Tribolium castaneum: one gene and its partners. The protein of the gene in region 1 interacts with the protein of each later gene in a biochemical or structural test. Links are inferred from orthologs where the notes say so. Each region holds a gene or a part of one and is shown in the gene's direction. Other genes may lie near its edges. The genes, in order: nuclear pore glycoprotein p62, probable nuclear transport factor 2 and Fs(2)Ket.

Evidence for each region.
Region 2: the proteins of nuclear pore glycoprotein p62 (region 1) and probable nuclear transport factor 2 form a complex in vitro, tested with the Homo sapiens proteins (3 studies listed by BioGRID). The link is inferred for Tribolium castaneum from reciprocal best matches to the Homo sapiens genes NUP62 and NUTF2.
Region 3: the proteins of nuclear pore glycoprotein p62 (region 1) and Fs(2)Ket form a complex in vitro, tested with the Homo sapiens proteins (2 studies listed by BioGRID). The link is inferred for Tribolium castaneum from reciprocal best matches to the Homo sapiens genes NUP62 and KPNB1.

The regions. Positions count from the first base shown.
Region 1 is NC_087396.1:18,041,071-18,044,832, reverse strand, and holds nuclear pore glycoprotein p62, read left to right. Parts: upstream 1-1,487; 5' UTR 1,488-1,589; coding exon 1,590-1,659; intron 1,660-1,711; coding exon 1,712-1,900; intron 1,901-1,949; coding exon 1,950-2,063; intron 2,064-2,110; coding exon 2,111-2,237; intron 2,238-2,752; coding exon 2,753-3,103; intron 3,104-3,151; coding exon 3,152-3,263; intron 3,264-3,366; coding exon 3,367-3,522; 3' UTR 3,523-3,574; downstream 3,575-3,762. Other genes in the region: ankyrin repeat domain-containing protein 12, read right to left, coding at 3,575-3,762. UniProt on the Homo sapiens protein: Essential component of the nuclear pore complex. The N-terminal is probably involved in nucleocytoplasmic transport.
Region 2 is NC_087395.1:25,834,579-25,837,053, reverse strand, and holds probable nuclear transport factor 2, read left to right. Parts: upstream 1-837; 5' UTR 838-975; coding exon 976-1,083; intron 1,084-1,133; coding exon 1,134-1,205; intron 1,206-1,256; coding exon 1,257-1,355; intron 1,356-1,405; coding exon 1,406-1,519; 3' UTR 1,520-1,530; intron 1,531-1,713; coding exon of another isoform or gene 1,714-1,827; 3' UTR 1,828-1,880; downstream 1,881-2,475. Other genes in the region: 3-oxoacyl-[acyl-carrier-protein] synthase, mitochondrial, read right to left, coding at 1-429; tetratricopeptide repeat protein 17, read right to left, coding at 1,918-2,079, 2,385-2,475. UniProt on the Homo sapiens protein: Mediates the import of GDP-bound RAN from the cytoplasm into the nucleus which is essential for the function of RAN in cargo receptor-mediated nucleocytoplasmic transport.
Region 3 is NC_087398.1:2,430,938-2,434,699, reverse strand, and holds the start of Fs(2)Ket (importin subunit beta-1), read left to right. Parts: upstream 1-1,224; 5' UTR 1,225-1,561; coding exon 1,562-1,616; intron 1,617-1,974; coding exon 1,975-2,216; intron 2,217-2,269; coding exon 2,270-2,913; intron 2,914-3,409; coding exon 3,410-3,762.

The DNA.
Region 1 (3,762 bases):
AGAACTAAATACCAGGAGGAGAAACAAGATACGAAATACAGAAGGAACACGATTATAACGAACCCGGTATTTAAAGCTGCGTCCACACTATGACGATCGGCAAGTCCGATTGGCAAGCTTAATCGGCATGATCGGCTTTTTTTACGTGTAACGGTGGCATGTAACTTATGGCCGAGCGGCATGTCCACACCAAATCAGCTTTGGTGTGGAAGCAACTTAACGAAGAAATGGAAACTCATATTTTAAAGCCCTATATTTATATTATAATAACTGTAATATTTTTTAAATAAAATACCACTTTCCCCAAATAATTGTTTATTCACTCCTAACACCACGACGGGACAAGCAAGAGTGCCCGTTCGTCATTCTCCTACTTGCTTCCCCCTACCTCACTCAGCCTTTTCTATATAGGTACAGTACTTAATACACTACAATAACAAATTAGTTCGGTTATAGTGAATATATGAACTTCACTTTTAACGTTCGAAATTTAGACAAAAAAGTGGTCTAGGACTCGGTTATAAGTTATAAGTTATAACGTACGCACATGCACTTACAGCACTTACATGCACTTACAGCGACATTCCAGCAGGCACATAAACAGACCAAGTAATTAGAAATCTTTAAATTTAGGATACGAAACTAAAAATTATTGAATTGTTAGATAACTATTAAACATAGATGAATGTAGATAAATATGCTTTTCTAATAAATTAAATTAATACTTTATTTCGTGTATCTGTTTCACGTTTAGAATTCAGTTGACTTGAAAACTATTCTATAAACGACGATGTTCGGATAAAACAAACGATCGGGTATAATACATAACAAACAAATTCTGAAGTCCCTTGAGTGTTCGTTATAACCGAGTTCCACTGTAACTCACCAATTTAGGGTGGAGTTTAAATGAGAGCGATTTGAGACACTGTAGATCTTCCCCTTTTCAAATTGTTTAATTTGATTCGTAAGCATCTTAATAATCTTAATATATTAATCTCTTAATAGTCTGAGAAAAACTACCAACTAAAATAGTAATGACAAAAATTTAAATTATCCTTCGTCCTATATTTTTTTGAAAGGCGGTCTATAGGGTTTAAGATATAAAAATTAAAAAGTTATAGAAGATTAAAATTTCTCACAAAAAAGTTTGCGGAATCATCTTTAATGGTTTGAATGTTTGAGTGATGGAAAATAATTTGCACTTTAAAACAATTTAAACTTATTATTAAAGATAAAAATTTGGCTTTTCGGATCTTTTTAGAGAAAATTTAATTCTCTCCACTTTTTTTGTTTTTTTTTTGTTTTTTTTATACAATTTTGACTTTACTTACGGGTAACAAAAATAAAGATAAAACCTTCTGTTATAAAAAAGTGGAATATGGAAGCTTATGACACTAGAAACGCCAACGGACACTTATGATTATAATTTGAAACTTAATTTTCCTCCTTCCTAAATTTTATGAGGCCATGGTTAAAAAATCCATCTTTCCCTCAATCGCCACTAGTGCCGCCACCATCGTTTTAAAATTTAACGTCAAGCTAACCTATAAATTTTGTGAAGCTACTTGAAGCTAACTAATTTTCTGAAAATGTCTTTCAATTTCGGTGCCCCTAAAACGGCTACAGGTTTCACATTACCTACCACTAGCACAATTGCCAGTACGTAAGACATTTTGCTAACCAAAACGCAACTAACCCTTTTATTACACAGCCACCACAGCTACGGGCGGTGCAGGCGATACCAAACAGCAAACCCCTAACAAACCACTAACAAATCTATTCGGTACTCCTACGACCAGTACCGGGTTTTTCCTGGGTACAACCCCCAAAACAACAGCGTCAGTAAGTTTCGGCTTAACAACAACAAGCGCAACCTCAACTCCCAGCTTTACAATAACTCGTTAGTAACCCTTTTTTGTTAAATTTATGTAATAATTAGTCAACTTTAGCTGCGACTTCGACGACTACGCCGCAGTTCAGTCTAGGGACAAGTGCTTCAACCACTACCACCGCTGCCACTTCGTTTACTCCTATTTTGTCCACAGGGACATCCCTATCTTCAGGTTTAAAAAAATTAGGGTTTTGTAGTCTTTACACGATTTAAATTTAGGTTTTTCGTTGGCAAGCAGCGCTGCAACTTCCGCACCTTTGAAACTAACCACAACCCTAACCCCTTCAAGCACAACAACAACATCAGCCTCTGGTTTAGGCCTAGGGGGGCTTACAGCTACTACACAGTATGTACTCTAATTATAAATACTTTTAACCCGCGCAAATGCGTGTCACAGTTTATAATAACATATATCAAGAGTACTGTGAAAGTTTAGTTAAAGTATGTCTTGACTAGTATTTTATTAAGGGTACTAATAAAAAGATTATTAATAAATTCGATTTTGATCATATAATACGAGTGCGAACACACTAGGTTAAAGTTCGAGGGCTGTCGTTATACAACGAGCATATGCGAGTTGCATACTTAGACATTATTATTTTTACTGTGCGTTTAATTCGTACCGTTTTATTATTGTATGTCGAATTTATCAAATTTTGAACCATATCTTGCGTAAAATATTGATTAAAATATTTGAAATCTTTTTTTTTAACAAACTTAAAATCAGCGTTGACAATGCTCCACCTGGTTCCTGATTTGTATTATATTGTAGTTTTGATATTTCATTAAATATAAGAGTTTATGAACATACGTCCGGGAAATTTTTACAGCACTTTTGATATGTTTCGTATAATTTTTAAGAGCGCCAGCTGTGACCACCACAACAGCAGCAAGTCTGCCAACTTCTGGTACCTTAACCTATGCTCAGCTAGAGGACTGTATCAACAAATGGACTATAGACTTGGAAGAACAAGGAAAATTCTTCATTAATCAAACAAAACAGCTGAACGCTTGGGATAACCTGTTGGTTTCAAACACTGATAAAATATTGGCCTTGAATGAAACAATTGAGCGTGTGAAACAGCAGCAGAAACAACTAGACCAAGAGCTTGATTTCGTATTAGCTCAAGATAATGAATTAGATGAGTTGAGTCTTCCTCTAGAGAAACAATTAACTGATATTCCAGTCACGGATCAGAATAGATTCCAAACGTAATTGTTTATTACAGTAAAATATTCGACATTCTGTGGGTGTTTTAGGTATCAATTGTCTGAAATAATTGACTCCCAATTGAAGCAAATGTCCGAGGATTTGAAAGAAATTGTGGAACATTTGAACGAGTCTAACAAAAATGAAGATATTACTGATCCGGTTTGTGTCAACAAATGTTGTCAAGACTGCTCTGCCTACTTCACAGCACTCTTGGCCACATTTTTGTTTCGACTCACTATCCTATCATGTGTGTATGTTGTAGGTCATTCAAGTCAGTCGCATTCTAAATGCCCACATGAATTCGCTCCAGTGGATTGATAGAAACTCGTCTCAGATTTGCTCTCATTTGGAACAGATTACACAGTTACATGAGACTTACAAGAAAAACGTTTTTATTAAAATTTCCTCTATACAATAACGCCTTGTACAAATTTCTCATATCAAACAATAAATCTAACAAGATATTGCACTTAGTCGCTTTTTGAATGTCTGTGGCTTTTTGTTTCTTCCTCTGGGGGGCTTCCTTCATTCCCCTTGACTGTAAATGTGACGTAGTATCGCTTGTTCTGATCCAGACGATCCGCAGGCAGTGATATGACTTGTTTGTCGTTTCCGTGGCACAGTTCGAGTGTCACGGCCTTTTTCGTATTAATTGTTG
Region 2 (2,475 bases), on another chromosome or scaffold:
GGGGAGAATCCGCGGGACGAAAAAGGGGCTCACTTGGTTGTAGCCCCGCTTGAGGGCGTCACTAGTTGCGCAAATATCCTCCAAATCGACCATCCCCATACCGACGGCGACCCCTGTCCGGAGCTTAACACTGTCAGGGGGGCTCACAAGGCCGGAATCGGTCAAGGCCTCGTGGGCGGCAAGGAGGGCGTAAGCGGTCGCAGCCCCCATTGATTTGAGTTCGGTTTTTTTGAAACGGGAGGTTAGGTCGATTCGAGCCCCCTTTTCTTTGATCAAGCCGGCGATTCGGCACGGCAAGGGGGCGTACGCGGGGCCCTCGAGCTGGGAAATGCCCGATTTGCCCGAAGTTATGGTCGCCCAGGCCTGAGTGAGGTTAAGGCCGACGGGGGCCAGGACCCCCATGCCCGTCACGACGACTCGGCGCGTCATTGTACAAATAACTGGTCCAATCGTCGTGTCTATTAATTAAGACATGGTATTATCGGTTTTTTATTAATAAATTTTGCAACAAAACCTCACTTAAAGTTAGACGTTTTGTGGTTTAGTTATTTGGGTAAAGTATTTATTTGAGGCCTATTGGTAAATTTCAATTGATATTCGAGTGTAATTGATTCAAAACTAAGTAACTGATCAATTGATTATTAACACAACTACAAAGTAATAAGTTAAAAAAAATAATTTCGTCCATTTGCACGTTTGAGTTGATGTTGCATGATTTTGGCTATTTTTATATTTATCTCACGGAAAAAACATCTGAGGTGCCAAATGGAACACCAGGGTGGTTAGGCGATTAAAAATTGATTGATTGTGGATGTGGGGTTTTGGGAAAAAATACAATTTCGGTTTAAACGTTCGCCCTTTTGCGCTTTCGTTCGTGGCGCCCATTTTGACATTCGCCAGCCGACGGTTGAGTGGGGTTATATCAATCCGGCTTAAAATTGCCATAATTGCGAGAATTCGGCTCTTTTCTCGACGATGGCGTTAAATCCCCAGTACGAAGCGATAGGAAAAGGGTTCGTCCAGCAGTACTACGCCCTTTTCGACGACCCGAACCAGAGGCCTACTTTGGCAAACATGTACAATGTGAGTGAGCTTGGGCGCCTGTAAGCCCCCTAATTGCGTTGTTTCCGCAGATCGAGAGCTCGTTCATGACGTTCGAAGGCGTCCAATTGCAGGGATCTGTGAAAATAATGGAAAAATTAACGGTGAGTCTGCGCTTTTTGCGTTCCAGCAGATTGGTCAAGTTCTCGTTGCAGAGTTTATCATTTAAAAAAATTAATCGAATTATCACAGCGGTCGACTCGCAGCCGATGTTCGACGGCGGGGTGCTAATCAACGTTTTAGGTAGATTACAGGTAAGCCCCCTTTCGCACTTCCTGGAGACCTGAACATAGCATTTTGATAGACTGATGAAGACATGCCTCATGCGTATCTTCAAACTTTCGTCTTGAAACCAATAGAAGGGAGTTTTTTTATTCAACATGATATATTCCGACTTGTCCTTCATGACACTATTTAGTCAAAGAGGCAGTACGTATTCGTGTTGCTTTCACTGCCAGTTGTTTCTTGCATGCTCTCCGCAGCTTCCTTGATAACGACAATTACCATGGTTACGTTCGTTTGTTTAATTTCGTAACTATGGTAACGTGCCTTTCTCTAATCAAGAAAGCCATGATTTTGATAGGTTTTTGATTGGTGTTTTCGGATTTTCAGGCCGACGAAGACCCCCCGCACGCATTTTCCCAAGTATTCGTTTTAAAACCTTTAGGAAACTCATTTTTTGTCCAACATGATATTTTCAGATTGGGAATCCACGACACCGCTTAAACCACTACTTGTTTTACCATTGCTTCATCATTAAAATAAAATATTTTATAAACTTTCAGACAATTTATTAATCACAATCCAGGTACAACACTAGGCAAGAATCCTCTTTGCGCGCTTCTGTGATCCCCCAAACCCCTTCAAACTCCTCATCGCCATTGCCTTGTTAAAATGCCGTTGCGTCTTCACTTCTGCATACTCACCCTCGCCCATATTATCCACAGACGATAAAATCACCAACAAAACACCTAAAACCTGGAAAAAAGCTCGGTCAAAGTGACCCATGGTTTGCGAAATCAAGTTGGCAACACCCTAAAAACACGATTAGCATTTTTTTGGTTTGTTGCCAACTTATTCCACTCAAACCAACCTCTCATTCTGACAATTATTCAAATATTTTGTAAAGTCTGCAAAACTCTAGTAACTCAGAATTGTGCATAAACAGAAACGCACATGATCATAATAGAAAATACACAGAAACGTAATCTAGTCATTGTTTCTGGAGATGCACTGTTCTGTCATTGTGCGAAAAAATCGTCAAAAGCGCCAAATTAAATTACCAGGCAAATAATTATAACAAGTGTGTAGACATGTATGCTGGCAGTCGGCATCGTCTCCATCTCCTTAAGTGCATTTTGCGCCGGTTCAAAG
Region 3 (3,762 bases), on another chromosome or scaffold:
TTTATTTATGTTGCAATTATATTGCAATTTAGCTCGTTTTTTGAAAATTCGTCGTTTACGAAATACCCATAAAAATCCTTTATTGTGTACGACTGTCCTCATAAGTTGTTTGTTTGTCCAAAGAAAAACTTTATACTCTTATTTATTGGATATTAAAGGCGAATGTTATGACTTTTAAATTGGTTTTATTAAGGCAATTAAAGGTGGTGGACACTGTAAAACCCATATTTACGAAGTTACTTACACTCAAGCCACATATTTCTACAGATTTTATTAATGACCACAATTAATTACTCCCTAAAGCCTTCACCTTTTCTTCGATCAGGTGGTTTCTTTTTTAATGGAAATGCATGTGTCTACGCAACATGTTAAATATAAATTCACAGTATGCAAGATACCATCAGGTTTGTGCAGCTAAGTGCGTTCAAAATAACACAAAGTGCTCGCAAAACACCCAAGAAACAATGCATTACACTCTGCTCTAAACTTGTTTTGCTCACCAGGAAGAAAGTACTCGACTTTACCTAATTTTAAAATAAACCCACTTTTAACATCCCTATAGCAATAAATGAAACATCTTAATAATAATAGTAATAACAATAATAATAATAATAATAATAATAATAATAATAATAATAATAATAATAATAATAATAATAATAATAATAATAATAATAATAATAATAATAATAATAATAATAATAATAATAATAATAATAATAATAATAATAATAATAATAATAATAATAATAATAATAATAATAATAATAATAATAATAATTTGAATTGAATTTTTTTTATGACTAAAATGAATAGTAATCAAACGTTGAGCAGGAGAAGTAATTTAGGTCAAAAAAAAATGAGAAAATAATTATTTATATTGTTATTTTAGTCAATTAAATATTGATAGGCGTGGCCAATTATGTTTAAAATGAATCCTATTTTTATACAGAATCGTTAAAGGGATATATACAGTCAAAAGTCTGAAAAATAGTTCATTAAATTGTTTTTCAAGTTATATTTACAATTGGTTTATCATAAAAACCGTCAGCTGCAGTAAAATGGGACTAAAAACAATGTAATATCCTATATTATATTTTTGAATAAGCACTATAAAGTTGGCTTAGAAACATAAATGGTTGCGACATCTATCAAAAAAAGCAGTAATCATTGTAAACTGTACAGAAACCTATTAAGAAAATGCGCGCAAAGCAAATCGGTTTAACGGTCATCTTGTCTCCGCACTGAAATACAGTATAAGTGTTTATTATCGTTAGTGACAAATCACAAGTTAATTTACAACGTAAAGTGCTTCAAGTAAATTGTTACAACTGTGTGAACCGCTGTTTGATATAATTTGGGTAAACAACGATTGAAATTGGCCGTAGTTTTGAAATAACGATAAGGAACCGTCATTCATACGTTAGCAGCAGCGTATGAATATAGCCTTCCTGCCAGTTTAATCATCCTACATGTCCATGTGGTGTTAGCCGGCTGATTGCAAGAACCAATTAATTAAAACCGTTAAGTTTACAATATTAGTCAGTAATTCTACAATAAAATGCATCAAGAAACACTCCGACTTATACAAGTGCTAGAAAAAACTGTTTCTCCCGGTAAGTACAAAACTTGACTATTTGACAAGTTGCCATCATTTTTTAACCACTGCCATATAATCGCATGCCTAATCATCAAAAAGCACGTTCCTCTCAACCCCGCCTCATTTCCGCCTTTTCGATAAATTTCAACCCGCTTTGACATTTTACGAAATTCCCAAGCAACTCCCCGTCAGGGCTTAAACCAAAAACCTGACGATGTCGCCGCACCGGCGTCGAAACGTCGGTCGCTCTTTTTCCCAAAATGCAACTCTTTTCAAGCCCTCAAGCTCGCAAAGTTTCATCATAACCTCACACTTTTCGAGGTCATTATCCTCAGTGATTTTCCGTTAATCACAGCCTATTTGACGATTTCCAGATAAAAATGAACTGGAGCAAGCATCAACATTTCTTGAGCAAGCTGCCGCCGCTAATATCTTAGAATTTATCAAGACTCTATCCGATATCTTGCGACATGGGGGCAACAGTCCCGTTGCTCGCATGGCCGCCGGTCTCCAACTGAAAAACCAACTCACGTCCAAAGATCCCAACATCAAACAGTTATGTCAACAGAGATGGCTGTCGGCACCGGAGGAGATACGCAACTACGTCAAGAAAAACGTAATTGTTTATATACCGGTTTTGTTAGTGTTTTTTTCGACCGTTTTCTCCAGGTCGTAGGGGCCCTGGGCACGGAGACCAACCGGCCTTCGTCAGCGGCCCAATGCGTGGCTTACATCGCTGTCACCGAATTACCGCACCACCAATGGCCCGACCTGATCGTCACGCTAGTGAACAACGTAGTCCAACCAAACTCCACCGAAATGCAGAAAGAAGCAACGCTGGAGACCATCGGCTACATCTGCCAGGAAATCGACTCAGACGTGCTCGTTACCCAATCCAACGACATCCTCACGGCGATCATCCACGGAATGCGCTCCACAGAGCCCAGCAATCATGTCAGATTTGCGGCAACGCAGGCGTTGTTAAATTCGCTCGAATTCACTAAAGCTAACTTCGAAAAGGCAACTGAAAGGAATTTCATCATGGAGGTGGTGTGCGAAGCCACTCAGTCGCCAGATACGCAAATTAAAGTTGCAGCGTTGCAATGTTTGGTTAAAATTATGTCTTTGTATTATCAATATATGGAGCCCTACATGGGCCAAGCTCTCTTTCCCATTACTTTAGAAGCGATGAAATCTGACAATGATGCCGTGGCGCTTCAAGGTATTGAATTTTGGTCGAATGTTAGCGACGAAGAAGTGGATTTGTCCATCGAAGCCAATGAGGCAGCGGATGCAGGCCGGCCCCCAGCCAGGTAAGAGCATCATTTCTGGAATGACTATTAGTAAAAACTGTAATTCCCTGTTTATGCGTTTAAGTGAAATCCAGTCTGTGAGCGATATGATAAATTCGTAACTTAATCAGCTAATCGTTAAATATCATTAGATAACTAAGTTTTTCTGTTTTTACTTCGGTCAGAGAATTCCCACAATAAATGTTAACAAGAATAAATAATCTTTTTACGGCTTTTGCCATGCTATTAAAAGAATCAGATTAGTAGTAGTTTCATAAACCTAGTCAGATTTTTATAAACACAAATTAAACTAACGATGCTTTTGTGTTGCTAACTTTAGTTTGGTATTTTTATGATCGATAAAAGCCTTGTTTTGATTTGATTTTCACAATTTGCGTTTGAAACATCAAAAAATAGATAAGTGTTAAGTCAACAAGCCTATTATTAGAACGGAGATTATTCATTGTCCTGTTACGCTGACTCAACCGTCAGTCAGTTAAGCGAATATTTCTTCCAGAGTATCACGCCACTACGCCAAAGGTGCGCTCCAATTTATCGTACCCATCCTTCTGCAAAAACTAACGAAGCAAGAAGAGCTCGATGACGAAGACGACTGGAACCCGAGCAAAGCTGCCGGCGTTTGTTTAATGCTTTTGGCCACATGCTGCGAAAACGAAGTTGTTCCACACGTTTTACCTTTTATCAAAGAAAACATAAAGTCTGAGAATTGGCGATTTAGAGATGCGTCGCTTATGGCTTTCGGCTCGATTCTTGGCGGGTTAGATAACACCACTCTTAAACCATTGGTGGAGCAAGCCATGCCAACCTTGATAGAGCTGATGTATGATAGTAGCGTTATCGTGAGAGATA